2 linked regions of the Styela clava genome follow. The protein of the gene in region 1 purifies or fractionates together with the protein of each later gene. This does not show direct contact. Links are inferred from orthologs where the notes say so. Each region holds a gene or a part of one and is shown in the gene's direction. Other genes may lie near its edges.

The links. The genes of interacting proteins can lie anywhere in the genome.
Region 2: the proteins of Golgi phosphoprotein 3-like (region 1) and ras-related protein Rab-11B-like purify together in Drosophila melanogaster (affinity purification with western blotting; 3 studies listed by BioGRID, with this or other methods). This does not show direct contact. The link is inferred for Styela clava from reciprocal best matches to the Drosophila melanogaster genes sau and Rab11.

The regions. Positions count from the first base shown.
Region 1 is NC_135252.1:1,475,050-1,483,311, reverse strand, and holds the start of Golgi phosphoprotein 3-like, read left to right. Parts: upstream 1-4,752; 5' UTR 4,753-4,885; coding exon 4,886-4,989; intron 4,990-5,690; coding exon 5,691-5,901; intron 5,902-6,113; coding exon 6,114-6,206; intron 6,207-7,100; coding exon 7,101-7,351; intron 7,352-8,262. UniProt on the Drosophila melanogaster protein: Phosphatidylinositol-4-phosphate-binding protein that links Golgi membranes to the cytoskeleton and may participate in the tensile force required for vesicle budding from the Golgi.
Region 2 is NC_135262.1:17,158,064-17,166,656, reverse strand, and holds the start of ras-related protein Rab-11B-like, read left to right. Parts: upstream 1-4,702; 5' UTR 4,703-4,861; intron 4,862-5,117; 5' UTR 5,118-5,152; coding exon 5,153-5,192; intron 5,193-7,054; coding exon 7,055-7,250; intron 7,251-7,578; coding exon 7,579-7,772; intron 7,773-8,273; coding exon 8,274-8,354; intron 8,355-8,593.

The DNA.
Region 1 (8,262 bases):
CGTATCAAAATTAAATGCATTAGGCAGTTTCACATATTTTTATATCCAGAGATCGCCGTGGTATTTTACGTGAGTGATGTTTTTATTTTGATATGAGAAGACGCAACCGTTACGTTGGACTCAACTAAATTATTATATTAGGACATTTTAGAACATCGTAGTTATTATAAATTGAATATTTTATGCAACAGAAAAACCATTATACGCTGAAAGGGCGACTCTTTTAACGAGCGCGCAATCGCGGTGACCGTGACAGACGGCAATGGAAGGAATTTCCGATTTTCAACCCCCCTCCCCCTTTTTGAAAATCCTGGCTGCGCACCTGACTGATACCTACCTTTTTAGTCAATTAAAACTGATACCTGTGATACCTTTTTTAGTCGGGGCCCCTGGTACGGTACAGAACCGGTAGTCCGGTATGTTAATAAATTACCGAGTTAGACGAATGCTGGGATGTCACATTGCTCATCGAAAGAGAGACGTTGTATAATAAAATCGAGATCTGTTTGTGATTTATCTTCAATAAGAGAAAATCCGAAAATGATATGGTAACTTACCGCTAGCGACCGAGCCTCGCACGATGTTGATAAACGTATTCCAGTTTATTACATCCAGCCTTCTGATTTCATACCGGTACCGGTCGGTACCAAATTTTCGATAGTCAGTACCTGCCGTGACGCACATGCATTTAAAAAATTAGAACCCATACTCCAATATCTCAATCTTACTACAGTACCGTACCATACTGCCATATGCTCAACTTATCCATTTAATAAATCTGCTTATGTCTGTATGTACCTCCAGACTTCTATGCTAAACTTGATTCCGTGGCAGGTGAACGCAACACGCCTGAGTAGACTTGTGCTCTCAAAAATGCATGTGAGCAAAAATCAATTGAAGGGGAGAAAATTCGGAAAATGTGTCAATCCTAATAACCCCCACCTGACTAAGCCACGCCAAATGCTGGTTACCAACTAAATGGCCTGTCTTGAAAAGCAAGCGCAAAAACTACTTCGCCTGTATAAAACTGTTTATCACAGTTTGTTTGTTACGATTATTTAACCTATGCGAAATTCGCAACATCGCCATCTTGCGTGACAGGACTGTGCTTCAAAGCACCAGTTGGCATGTTCCGTTTAAATAATTTAAAAATTATTTGTCCAAATTTATATCAAATGGGGCCATTCTGTCAGTTGCACGCTAACAATCTACAAACAATCTTGGTAAGTTTGCACACAGGCTCAGGGGTTTGGCATGTCACACTTTGCACGCTGAGATTTTTGGATTTATTTCAGGATCTATACGAGTTGTGTACTAAAGTTGTTCATCCAGTTTACAAGCAACTTCGTTCCCATAGCTACAAAAACCGTAACTACTGAACTTGCTAACTCTGAAATGTTCACTCAAAGTCAGTTCTGTAGTTAGTTGCATTATACACTCCAAATACTGAAATACAACCACTGCTGCACTGACAGTTTGACTTTTCAGGGCTCTGAATCTACTGTATCAAGACTAGCAAAATGATGTCATACATAGACACACATGGCATGGAAGAATTTGACCTATCTAAAGAGAATACGATCAATGATATATTATATTTCTAACTAGATTCAATACAATTAAACCATCATGATAAAGTTGCTAGACACTTAGAAATCGTTTCTTTTTTGTGAGTTATAGTAATCGCAAAAATATCGATAATAAATGCAACCAGTGATAAAAATCTAATTCAAAAATCCCCACATTCCAATCATGTATTATGTTTTAGCCTATTATCCCTTATGGTTTTTTGTTTGTTTTCGACAACTTTCCAAAGGAAAGTACTCAGCTATTTGGATTAAATATTATTAATCTATTGCTTGCTATCATTTTTATGTTTTTTTCTTGAAATTTGGGTTTCTGGAAACTTGGGTAGCACATCACCCGTCTATATTTTTTCAATATTAATTATGTTAGGTTATTAAAGTCAATGATCTGGAATTTGTCGTAACGCAACATAGGTAAACCACCCTATGCTATGCCTGAGAGCTTGGGCCAACACTGCTGTTCTCATTTTATAAACATTAAATTATGAAATTGTTGAATAAGGTACCGGTGGCGGTAATTGTGATTGAAAAATAATAGCTTAGTGGCGATATTGACTAGATTAACTAAACATAGCCTACTTTGTCAGATTTGTCCTAAACGTATTGCAAGTTTAGCATGCAAAAATCAAATAGCAATTCAGGATAACATATTTCGGGAAAACCAACAGGAAAGACCTCTGATGTTATTTTCAATACACCAGGAAACAGCATATTATGCTGATTCAGTTAATGGAGAAAATTACCAATTTATTGCAAAGAATTTTTTGTTTTAATTGATGAAAAAACGTTTTCAATGATGAAAAAAGATTTGGGTTTATTTTGAAATATTGTAATTCCATAAGAATAATTGAATCAAAGTAACTATTTGTTGTGGATATTGCAATAAGTCAATATCAAGTGAAATTCTAATTGCAACTCTATATGCCACGTGTATTTATTTGAAGTTTCTGGCTCATTTGATACTTTTTTGAATAAAAATTACAACCAGTTGGTTTGAAGATCATATATAAAAAATTCTACGAGGTTCGAAAGCATAGAGATAATGTAAAATCATCAATTTGAAGCAATAAAACTAGCCAACTATGACTGAAATCCTGGAGTAGAAGTCCTGGAGTGTTATTTCCAATAATACATTTTAACATTATTGTCTTAATTTCTAATCGAAGTACAAGGTATGATTAAATATATACCAGTATAATCAACTGAATAACCTGCAGAATTTAGGCAAGAATATTTATATATTCTCTTCTTGTCATTAGGATCATAAACTACGAATTTCAAATTCATTCACTTAAAACAGATGCAGAGGTAAAATCAGAGATATGGATTAAGGTTGCTTTTAATAGTTACGGTAATCATGACATATTTCAAGCTATAAGTGGTTTAAAACAGTGTGGTTTCTGAAAATTGGAATATTTTTACAGTCATATATGATTTAACTTGCCTTGAGAAAGTATAGTGAACATTTTATGTATGTTTGACCAAAATAATTTTATGCCTATGGCATTGGTTCTCAAAATTTGCTATGTACGCCCCGAAAATTAACAGAATTGTGTTGTTATAGCTACAGTACTATATGGTTGAATATTTTACATATCGTTTTATTATAATGTTTTATTGTTTCCTATTTTAAATGCTGTGTATATAAATCAGTGAATTCATTTTTACCTTTCTATGTTGTTTACTTTCTGTTAGGTAGTGTCTGCCTCTATTGTTATGTAACAATGGAGATAATCCTAGTTGCTGCTATTTCATGAGCTGCAGTTTATTTATCTTCTGAGTTTAGCAAACATGTTTTTAGTATTCCGAAGGAAATGAAAATAAAAGACATCCCCCCAAAATAAGCCCTAGTGTTATTTTTCGAAAGAAAATTCAAATAAAACCCTGCCTTATTTTCAGGGAAACACGGTATAATAAAGTACTAGACATAGGGCTTTGTTCTGCAATTGAGTTGACAATTTGTTAGTTTGCAGACACAGTGTAGGATACACATGCCGCAAACCATTATCCATATTGTCAGTTTGTCTGGTTAAGATGACACAGTATCAATGTCATTATTTCATTACCAAGTTAATTCTGTTAGTTCTGTTTTATTTTAATCTATAAAGAAGATGTTTTGTAGGGCTCAGACTCTTCAGTTTGGAACAATTCCTCATTCTTGGTTTTTCAACTTATTTGGTAATATTTTATAGAAGTGCCTGAGGCAAAGGAACATATCTGTTCTTATAACATGAACTATCATCACTTGTGACACATCTTTCCCCTCAGGCAAAATCTGGTATTTCTAGTTGACAAATTTTAAGATGAAGACTGTAATTGCACTACTTGACTATGCCATGAAATTATTGAGCTTTTAAATGACTTATAGTATGTATTAGGCTTCAGTTAGAGTAAAATATTAGAGTTATTTATATCATATATATAACAATATAATAGTTGTCAGTTCATCCATGGTTACACTGTGTCGTATCGCAGGGAATATCATTATCGTAATCAGTGAGATTGTATTTGAGAATAATGATTCTTATATTATCTTAGCCATAGCATATTTTCATAACACCTCAATGTGAAAAGGTTTCTTCCATCAATGAATACTACACAGTTATGAAATACTGGTGCATTAAAAAAAGTTTTGAGGTTTTCAAATTAATAATGTTCGAGAAACAATATAACTCATTACCAGTAGTATGTCCTTGGTCAGATTAACTGCGAAATTACATTTCCATGTTCCAAACAGTATGTACCGTAAGTTTCTTATTTCAGAAGCAACCTAGTCAAAGGTCTAAAGGTGTTTCACAAAGTTGTGGTAAAAATTACAGTAACTCAAATAATCTTTGTAGTTGATTTGTAGTAATATAAATTGTAGACTTACTATTTCTTCTCTATTGCTTTTCAATTGGTGTATTATAGCAAATATGAATATTTTTTATTTAGTCTTATTAAGCCGTGCTTAAATGCTGCACATATTCACAAATTATGATTTTTAATTGTTGTGGCCAATGTCAGGCCTCATCAGGCAATTTACAGCATTGATCGAACACATTTTTTTGTGTGTAAATTGTTATGGTGGTTATGATTAGTTCTTATTAAACAGTAGAATGAGTTTATTCCTGTTTTACAACTTTAGTCTCCTTAGACCAATTTTATGCAATTGTTTTTGACATGCCAATTTCATTTACAGCTGATGACTTATATAATATAGGTTATGTGATACACCTGCAAAAACATACAGTCTGTAATTTTTTATTGCTTACTTGAGGTTTAGGAAATTTGAAGTTGTAATACACAAGATTATCATCATGTCTTCTGGGCTCATTCAACGGAAGACAGAAGCTACTATGGCTGCAGCCCAGATGAAAAAGAAAGAAAGTCGTAGTGATGACGAGAAAAGTGATGATGATAGGTTTGTAGTTCATTTTTATGTCTAGTTCATTTTGCCTACGTTATATCTATTGCATCAGAAATGCTCTAGCCAAGAATTTCTCAAAATTATCCCTCCACATATAGGAGGGCACAGAGCGGCATTGTGGAGGTCAAGAACAGATATTCACTAGGTCACCGTTCATGATAACTGCATTAATTTAGAGTAAACTGAGAACGATTTTTTTGTTTATTTCACCGTAATGCATTCTTTTGCTTTCATTTGTTGGCTTTTTTTGTGTTAAATTAAAATAGCTGATGGCAATAATAATTTCTAAATTATTCTTTGCATTTTCCTGCTGTTCATCAATTGAGTTGTTGATTTTCTTTTGAATTAAACACCATGGGAGATATATTTGCGGTAGACAAAGTGTTTTTTATTATTTTTCAAGTAAATATACGTCAGAAACTCAGAATGGTGTGTAAAATCGGTTAATCATAACCAGCCCTACTGATCAGCCATACAATCAATAGTAAGCATGTTCTTGTCGCTTATTAACACATTGCACCGATCGTGGATACTTATTAATTGTAAACAATAGCTACAACCTACTGTGCATTTTTATTTCATGTTCATTGTTCTTTATTTGAATGGTGTTGTATTTCAATTTTAACATAGAGACCTCAGACACCCATCGCTAGTTATTCTGTGTTTTTACTGACTGTGTGCATACTCTATTTCAGAATGTCTGATAGTGGGGACAAGTCTATGCGATTAACTTTAATGGAAGAAGTTCTTCTGATGGGTTTGAAAGATCGTGAAGGTTACACATCATTTTGGAATGATTGCATATCATCAGGATTAAGAGGTTGCATTCTGGTTGAACTTGCTTTGCGTGGAAGGATTCAGCTTGAAAGGCAACAAGCAAGGAAAAGAAAATTGTTGGATAGGAAGGTTCAGAAACATCTCTTCACCAATCTTTAGAAGTTTTATTTTTAATTACTCATTTTGAACAGATTTTATAGTAGTCATAGCAAGCAAGCCTGAAGTTGTACCACTTATTTAGGGAATTGAGGTTTAGGTATTAGAGTTGTTAGACTAAATTTTCTTTATATTGTTTTTTTACTTACCGTACACATTTTTTTACGCAAAACTCTGAATTCCAGGTACGATGTAAAAATGACGCACCTACTGGGGATGTTATCTTAGATGAAGCTTTGACACATATTAAGAAAGGAGAAACAGAAGAATCAGTTCAGGTATACATTGTTCTTTGGTCTAATAATATTTGAAAATATTTTACATCAGGATGCAAATTACTGGGCGGGCAACATTTGCGCAGGTGCTATTTTGAATTAAATTTCCTTCCGTTGGATATCCAATATATAGATGTCAAGCGGAATAAATACTAGAAATTAGAATACTCACAATTCCTTGATTTCACCTGAAATGTTCAAAAAATGTAATTGCTCCGATGAAAAACTTCCAGTTATACTAACTTTCATTTTTTTCCTGAAACAACAACTCCCAACAACGAAAAGAAGAGAATTCCTTCTTCGAATGGTCCGATGTGTATATAATGAACTTTGTATGACACCAGTCTATGAAGGAGCCCAGAGGATTTGTGTCTGCTTTATTCCAATATAGTGACATAGAAAATATCTCTATCAAGCATATTGTTGGCTAAATCAAACCACCCATTCCTAGTCGAAGAGGTGAACTAATATTCGAACTGAATGCCCGTTTATGGTAACCATTATTGAGTTCAATCGTTCCAAATTTGATGTGGTGCCAAATTATTTAATTTCAAGGTTTTTTTATACAGTTTTTTTTAAATATTATCCTAAAAAATTTGAGTATACTGAGTTACAAAAGAAAAGCCTTTTATGACTACTTGAATAAGATTCAAACTGTTTAAACCACAAGAAAGTACAGAGTTAGAATGTTACAAATGAAACCATAATTTCATAGAGAATTAATTTTACATCGCTTCTAACGTCAAAAACTACTCAAATAACCAGACCCCCTTATTGAAAACATATAGCACCAACTGCACAATATACACTTTTCATTTCGGTGATGAGTGGGTATTTGATAATGAAGATTATCAGATTCAATCTTGTAACTTTGTTCCGATGATTAATATTTTGCAGGGATGGATAGATCTGCTGTCTGGAGAAACGTGGAATCCTTTAAAATTGCAATATCAATTACGAAATGTACGGGAACGCCTTGCCAAGAACCTTGTTGAGAAAGGAGTTCTAACAACTTCAAAACAGAATTTTGTTTTATTCGACATGACCACACATCCTGTTGTCAATGATGATGTAAAAGCAAGCCTTCTAAAAAGAGTTCAAGATGCTGTTTTAACTAAATGGCCAAATGATGTTGAAAAGATGGATCGGTCAGTTTCTCATACTATAGTAACTTCTTTTTTACAGTGTAAAACATATGAAACCTCAAGTGATGCATTACTTTAGTTATATTTGAAAAATCAATCATGCTCACTCCTTTTTGCTTTCCTGCTAATCAGTGATTTGTGTTGTTGAACTTTGTGCCAATATTACTGGTTGGGTGAAACTCTGGCGGTTTACATGATTTGTAACTGTATGTGGGTGGGAAGCCCACATAAATAACAAATTCCTCTATTTTATTTTCGCGAAACCTGGTTTTGTTCGGCGCATCGTGCACTTGATTACTGTACTCTGCGTGCTTTCGTAGGTTTGAATCACGTGGGCAATTATCACACACGAAAGAATTGCTGCCGTAAGGCACGGTAGTTTGCTTACCTTATTGGTCGACAAAATACGGCCGGACGCTCCATTAAATGGACCTTTCCCCGACCTTCAACCCCGGAAAATTCTTTCTATGCTTTACCATTTTAAAATTTTCGGTGCTTATTTTAAGAGTGGTTTCGCGAGTTGTCGCCTGTAAAATGGGGTATTTCAAACTATCATTCGAATACATACCATTCAACAATCTATTTTTTTAAATTACCGGTAAAGAATTTTAGCCTAGTCTATCACAGCTATTTTCACTTTAATTTTTGATTACTACAATTAAACTGAAACTCCTAGGAAGACAAAGTGATCATTGAATTATTTGATTTTTATTTAAATTTCCGAAACACAACTAAAAACAAACGAATCTAATTCAAAAACAGAGAAATTGAGGTAATGTTTACGACCACGCCTGAAAATCTGTCTGAGCGAAAAAAGCGTCTGAGCGGATGCAAAAGGGGGCATTGTTACGTTTATTTTTGCATCTTGCTGATTGACCAATGTCACGAAGTAAACAAGAAAGTCTATGCCCGGG
Region 2 (8,593 bases), on another chromosome or scaffold:
GGGGGGCCCCTCTTGTACATCGTTTCTTAAATACATACCATTTTTTTAAGAATACAAATAGCCTAGTTTTATCTCAAATAGCAAATTATTTACCACCCCCTAAATTTCGAAACACCCCCCCTAAATGGAAAAGCTGGGGAACATACTGGCTCGAACCCGTTCCTGAAATGTCTTAATAATAAGCGAACCCGTTTTGGATTTATCCGTTACACGACTGCAGGAAATAAGTTACAAAAGTTATGTATTTGATTCATTTAACTTTTAATAGCATAGAACCACAATGGCTATTTACTCTTTTTCTCCTTTCTCTCCCTCCACGGAGCCGACACGAACCTTCTCCGTAATCCTTATCCAGGACAGCAAGATCATTAGGATAGGAGTACCGGTAGAACCATATTTACGGTAGAACTCAGTGACATATATATTTTCTGAAATGAGAGAAGCTGTTATTAGTGAGTTCGATATAAAAATAATTCGTTTTCAAAATATTTAATCCCACTGCGGGAAAACACCACAAAAGTTAATGCACGACCGGCAAACCCGATCGCGACCCCATCCTCCTCCTGTCAACTTCCGTCACGTGAGCTCATATTTTCCTGAAATCGTCGTTATTTATGACGTCACATTAATCGCGCAAGCGTTTCAATCTGAGACATCGGGGCGTTTGTGCCGGCCTGGCCAAATCTTTGTTTCGTTTTGATTTAGTCGTATTATCGTATTTTATGCGAGGGTGTTGAATAATGTAAGTGGCGTACCACCTTGTGTGTAACGTATCCAGGGATAGGATGTAGTTCTATCTGATTTTCATTATACTATTACGGTATACGATACAGAGTTATTTCAGCACCTTATCGGTAGACTACGACTGACGGTGGAGACGTCAGTCGGTCATTGCTGTATTGCTTGCGATTTGCTAGTTCTCTTACAGCTGTACAGTCTGGCTAGATCAAAATATTACTGAATTACCGCATTGGTACTGTTGGTATGTCATACCAGCCTCCATGGCGAGTCAGTCTCCACCCGAAAATAGCATGCCATTCCTGCATTCCAATGAAAAATAAAACTTGCCTCACAATGCTATTGTAACAATTTTGATGCTATATAGTACCGGTACCGGGACCGTACGTAGATAGTCTGTAAATTCCCTCTCATCTAGGCATCAGTTTAAGGGTTGGGGCATCTGAGAGATACCATTATACAGTTCAGCAGTTATACACCCACTCAATGTCTGGGTCTGGTATAGTTTACTGGTTTAGTACCACATCCACTTCTAGTTGGCCTGGCTCAACAATTTTTGCATATGTCAATTCTAACCCCCACCTGACTACGTCACCGAAAAATTACGTCATTCCGACGTCACAGTGGCGTAATACGGCTCACCGAAGTATGCGGATGGTCATCCAAAACGCGCAGACGATAACCCGAAATCGAGCAAGCTATTTTTCTCGTCACAACGATCACGATAGGAGAGAGATCGCCGGCTTTAGCAAGTTCTGATCGGCGGCGCAGATGCCATTTTGGGCGATCGTAGTTATACTTTGGCAATCCCTATGACGTGGTAGTGACGTAATTTTTGGATGGCATAGTCCTGTAGTCAGGTGAGGGTTAGGAATAACATATGCAAAAATTGTTATGCTACGCCCACTGGAAGTACTTGTGGTACTAAACTTTACTAGACCCCAATGTCTGAATGTCCACCAATGAAATAGTGTGCTTGCGGTTAAACGTTTGATTTTAGATCTGGCATTATAGGTTTCTGATAATCTATCTGTTAGGTACAGTGATGCTGTATTTCGAGGCGCATGAAAGAATACAGGACTCATCTTGCAGATAAATATTGTAGTTCAGTAGTTGGATTCAAAAAACTCATATCGTTATAATGACTTTACTGGACACCGCGGCACCATGAAATCATTACTGCATTAAGCTTGCTAAGGACTGCTATCGGGTCTTGTGTAGTATCGTATCTCAAATACCTCTAGTGGATGTAGCATAACGATTTTGTCAATCCTAACCACCACCTGACGATGTCATCCAAAAACGAGAGAAATAGCTTGCTTAAATTTAGGTGATCGCCTGCCCATTATGGATGACAGTTCTTATAGTTTGAAGGGCCCTATTACATCACTACTGCACTAGGACGTCCTGACGTGATTTTTCAGTGACGCAGTCAGGTGGAGGTTAGGATTGGGATTGACATATGCAAAAGTTGTTATGCTACGCCCATTGGAAGTACTTGAGTTATGAAACTACACCAGACCCCTGCTATCATACCGAACATGCCAGGGCGTAGCCAGAAATTTTCGAAGGGGGGGGTTCTGAATTTTTTTTTGCCAAGTTAGACCGAAACTGCTAGCGGGTTCGATCGAACTCTGGAATACGCCTGTTTCTAGTAGTCTTGTGGGTCTAAAAAGCATTTCAAGCTACGGAAAATTGCTATCTATGATACAGAAAATTGATTTTATTTTTTTTACATTTTAAAAGGGGGGGGGGGGGGGTTTCGACCCGCAAAACCACCCCCCTGGCTACGCCATTGCGAACATTGTTTCAAATACATGCAAAACAGCCTGAAATAGGTTCCAGTTTTGGGGTCTCGTGAAGTACACGCAGCAAGTAATTCTAATTGGCCCGGCTGGACAATTTTTGTATATCTCATGCCTAATCCCCACCTGACTACGTAATCCGAAAATTACATCACTGCGAAGTCGCTGGGGTTAGGAATATTATATGCGAAAATCGTTATCCTACGCCCAGTCTGCCAGTAGAAGTACTTGAGGACGTGTACCCCAGTTTTGAACATTTGTTTCATCCACAATACAGAAATACTGTAATAAGTTCATTCATACTTGTTTATGTGGCTCCATCAAACATTTTAGACTCAATGATTTTTTTCTTTTGTATTATTGTTTTCTAAGCGAAAGAATATCATTGTGCCTTTGTAACATGGGCTGTATTGGGGTTAGCTGTGATTTGTTAAGTCCTGTCCCACTTGCTCTTGGCGTCCGTTTGGAACTTATTACTTGCGTACTGGGCTATTCCAAGTGACTCTACGGAACAATGTACGGACTTGTGAGATGTACTATATTTTCACATTGTCAGCTACATGTTTTGTATCATTGTCCAATCAGTTGCTTTATGAGGGTTTGAACAAAACTGCACGAAAGGTAAAAACAAGATTCACTTAGTGGATATAAAATATAGCGTGACATTACGGAACGGCAAGTTCACCATGCATCAACGTTTCATTGTGTTGTGTTGTAAATTGTCGCGTTAGTACAGCAAGAGCTATTTTCTGGTGCAATAACTGAAGGACAGACCCCTCTGTGTCACTCAAGTTACTCAATGTAACACTGTAGATCCATGACGATAATGTGCACATTGTACGGGACACATTTTTCCTCTTTGGAACAGCAGCCTCTATCATCTCTTAAAATTCTGGTAATAAATCGTTAAATCGGTAAAGACATGTCCTACAGCACTGCAAACACTTAGGCTCAAACTCAAGTCTAGTGCATCTATTCGAAATGAAATAACTGTACCAGACAATCAAACAATTCATGTTATGAGTCACCAGAAAACAAAATTTCTACATTTCAGGCCACTTTGTTCAAATCATCAAAAACCTGGATGAAATTTAAACTTTTTTGGTGAAATGAATGCAGTCCAATAACGTTCAAGTGTCTTTTGATATAAAAAATACAAAACAATTACTTTCACTACACTATTAAAAAAATTTATGAAGTTCAACAGTTCCTTGGAATGGCCCTACTTTGGTTGCTGACATTTTACGAATATCAGCAGTGTCATATTAATATCTTACTGAAGTGCTTGCTTTGTTATATCCAGTAGTCTTCACTATGCGATTTACATACCTATGTATTTTCCTAGGGTTAACAATTATTGCAGAGTATGCTCCATTTCAGTGAAAAACAGGTGTGAAATACCGGTAGTTCAAATGCTGACAAAGCCCACACGGTTCATGTTCATTATGCTCAGAAGGCTTGGATCAAGTAAAAATAACCCAACAATAATTGTTAATTAATATATAAGGGTAGTTTGAAAACAAACAGTGCAGCATGGACCAAGCATTTTATAAGCTTTCTGTTTGAGCTCAAAACCTATTTGGTACACCTTGATCTACTTCACTGCAAACCAGTGTGTTGTGGAACATACCATGGTGTGTTTCATCAAATAGCCCATGTTTTTGTTTCTGTTATTTGCATCCTTTATGAGTATTCCTTCATATGCCAAATTTATAATGGTAAACTAATTATTGTGTGAGCAGTTCATATTTATTTTAGTTTTAATTTTGCAAAATATGGATTTGTCACTTTATATTTTGCCTTGCTTTCTTTATAATATTTTCAATGTGGCCCAAAATCAATCAATGGTACCATGTTACGTTCTTTTAATGACGAGAGTTTAGTTTCCATGGAGCATGAGGGTGGCCATACAGTGTCATATCAAACAAGGGTATCTCCATAGTATGTGTACCAGGTGAGGGTTAGGCCATAATTTTATTCCGATTTTCCTTATTTTAGTCCTATTACGATTTTGGGCACTGTTTGTGTTAGCCAAGTGAATATACCCCCTGCCCATAGGCTCCCATCCCTTTACACTTGATGTCAAGTAGCTGAACAAAATTAGTTACCTTCATATTGGTACACATACCGTACTTCTGGAGCGCCCAAACAAGATCTAAATATGATTTGTTCTTTTTTTGACTATTTTAGTGTGATTGACATATTTCCCTAATTAAGCTCTACAAGCCACAGAACAGTACAGTTAATTGCTTTTTAGCAATTGGGTATCACACTCCAATCTACCTGGATTTCTTATTGATCTCTGGACCAGTGTACCAGTAAGTTTTAGTTTTGTTTTATCAAACATATCATTATTAATAAAAAGTTATACTTCTACCAAATTATATTCACTTTTTGACTTTAAAAAATTTTCCCATAGATTTGCCAGAATTTGTAATTCTGAATTAAAAACTTTTATGTCAATGTATTCCTTTGAATTTTAAATATATTGGTTGCATATCGACATTGATGAACAATGTCTGAATTTTTGATGCTGAGTCGTTGACGTAATGATTTTTATACTTATCTTCACAGGGCAAATTTGAAAATCAAAATCACAAACTCAAATCATGGGTACTAAAGATGATGAATACGATTATTTATTTAAAGGTTTGTATCAAGGCATAAATACACTAAATGAAATTTTGGTATGTCCGACATATACTATGTGACTAGCTTGATCCTTTGTTAAATTAGGCATTTATCTCCAGACCAAATATAGGCATATTTCTCAATTCAAATTACATTCTATATTGTGAATACAAACTCTCGATATATATGGTCTTTCAACCGCTGTGGTGTTTGTCTATTCAGGCCGATTCATAATTTTGTTAATCATTAATTATTTTGATACTTATTTTAAAGCATTTTACAACTGAAATCTTATTAGAGCTCATGAACAAGCCTTTACACATCCACAAATTCAAAAGTGGCGGTTTTTAATAAAATGAAAGTTCAAAATTATACATCACGTTACACTAGAATTTTTTTCACTAGGTTATGTAATATCACCATTATTACTTTAGCTAGACTAGAAAATGCTTTGCCGTTGGACTCAAATGTCATATATATTAATCAATTTTTTGGCCATCATTTTGTTGCGGTTGATTATATATAGAATTTATTTGTAGTACTTTATTTTGTTGTTAAAATGACTGCATTTTTCAAATGGAGAAATATATATTTTTTTTAAATTTATTAAAATATACATGTTTTGTGAAGACATTTAAATTGGTATCAAATTATAATTAGTAGCCTATACAAGATAGTGTAAGATATTTATCTTGATATAGCTCTTGATAACAAGAGAATATAAGAATTTTCTTTTAAATATCAATGCATACAACTATGTTGGGTATGTAATGCATCAGAGCTAATAAATGATTTGCAGTATATAGACAAATTTGACATACATTGTGTGTTTGCATTAGCTTTCTATTGAACTATTGGTATTGCATCACTGATGTTGGTGCCGGCTTGCACCCAGACAAGACCTTTCTCATATTTACAAAAAGAGCATCAACTGTTTATTATGTGAAATACCATTGTATTGTACCTGAAATCAGGCATATCAAACTATCTTTCGACATGAACATCTACAATGAGTTTCCATTTACTCAAACTAGCTTTTAACATGAATTTTTACAATGAGATTCCATTTACTCAAATTTTGGGGCTTTTAGAACATGGATGTCTTTTTTATATTTAAGTCATTCATCTTTGGAATGAGAGATCTTTAGAGGTATCATTATTCTGCTGCTATTTTCTTTTCCAATACTATACCATGAAATTATGTTATATAATAGATATGAAGAAAGATACCAGATGGGTGTCAGTGTCAGAATAGTAATTTTAATATTCTGAATTTGAAGAATAAATTTGAAATCACCTGTTAGTTGGAAAATCCAAGATAAAAACTTCTCTCATTAACCTTAAAACCACAAACATCATTAAAATACTTTGAATTGAAAGGCTACTTGGTAATGTAAAATAAACCCTGTTCGTCGTTATTGTTTCGGCTTTGAATTGGCATGATAATTAATTTAACATTGATTGGTAGTCTCAAATTAAAAACACAGGTATGTAATCGGCACTCATGCACATGTTTTAAATAAATCAATAGACACCTGAACATTTAATTCTATGGATTATTATACCCTCAGTCATGAGCTCTTACAATGGATAAGTTTTCTGTAGTATCGTTAGTTTATGAGTAAAGATTAAAACTCATTTATTAATTTGATAAGCCAAACTGATAGTTTAATAGGGACGGTATCGTCGATATAAATAACAATTCTAGCCATGCACTTGTGAACACAACTTTAATGATACCAAGTTGATTTTAAAAAGTTGTTTTTTAACTGAGGTCCACTGCAGTTCAGATTTTTTTTTATGTTACTCATTTTCAACTCGTATCTTTTGGGATAATCAGAACATCCCAGTGTAACAAAGATTTTTTTTTCATTTTACAGTTGTCCTAATTGGAGATTCTGGTGTCGGAAAAAGTAACCTTCTGTCAAGATTTACGAGGAATGAATTTAATCTCGAGAGCAAAAGTACAATCGGTGTAGAATTTGCAACGAGAAGTATACAAGTTGACGGGAAGACAATCAAAGCTCAAATATGGGATACTGCAGGACAAGAAAGATACAGGGCCATCACATCGGCGTAAGATTATCATTATCATATAGTATCTTAATCTGCAATATTGGCTGCATTACCTGACCGTACATTTTGTTGGGATGACATAATTGCTATAGATATAGACACTATATTGTTGTAGTATGATTATTTTTTATTCCATACCATTCATTTTTATTTGAAAAAACCATATATTTCAAATTGTGGCACACGTTACATTGAAATATGAGCCCAATAAAGGAATATATGAGAATATCTTTGGAGATTGGAGAAAATATTGCTGAACGCTTCTAAAATAAAAAAGCCTACATTTGTCCTGCTTGAAAGATGGAAAAAATTGTTTATTGCTTAACAGGTACTACAGGGGTGCAGTTGGTGCTTTGTTAGTTTATGATATAGCAAAACATTTGACATATGAAAATGTTGACCGATGGTTGAAGGAACTCCGTGATCATGCAGATAACAATATAGTCATCATGTTAGTCGGAAACAAGAGTGATTTACGACATTTGAGAGCTGTACCTTCTGATGAGGCGAAAGCATTTTCAGGTGAGCTACATCTTTTTTCAAATACAGTACAATTGCAGTACAATACAATTGCAAAGGGAATTTATCGATACCATAAATTGTTTTGGTGCTCACAGATGAATATTGAGAACTGACTTCATAACAAAATTGATATTGTATAGGTATTTATGGCGGTGACCGTACATTTGAACCCATGTACATTTGAACCCATGTGTATATCCACGGGTTCAATCTATATGCGGGTGCTAAAACTCATGGGTTAGGGTTAGTGTGGGTTCAACTATCCGAAAAACAAAAAAAATTCCATAGGTGCAATAGCATACAGGTGCAATTGCCATGGGTTCAAATGTACGTGGGTTCAAATGTAATGGAACCATTTATGGCCACCCTGTATGATTCATAAAAACGAAAATTTTCTTAAGAATCGTCACAATTCGAATTTCTGTTTCTATTGTTATAATATTTTTGTCAATTCAAATTTGTGAGATCTACAAATCTGTAACCTAATTCTCTTTTTTTCAGAAACTCATGGTCTATCATTCATTGAAACTTCGGCTTTAGATTCAACCAATGTAGAGACAGCTTTCCATAATATACTTACAGGTAATGTTTTACTTATAATAGAAAATTCTTTTAGTTGATTGTTAGTATAACGAAAGAGTTGAGAGTGTGTTTGACTGTTTGTTTGAGATTTGCCTTCAGAATCCACTGGTTATGTAATGTACGTTTAATTTTTTTTTATTATTTACAATTGTAATTGTGTTAGCATTGTGTGCATTTTTATATGCTATGAAATCAATTTCATATCCTTTTTGGATATTTGAGGTTATGCTGCTGATTTT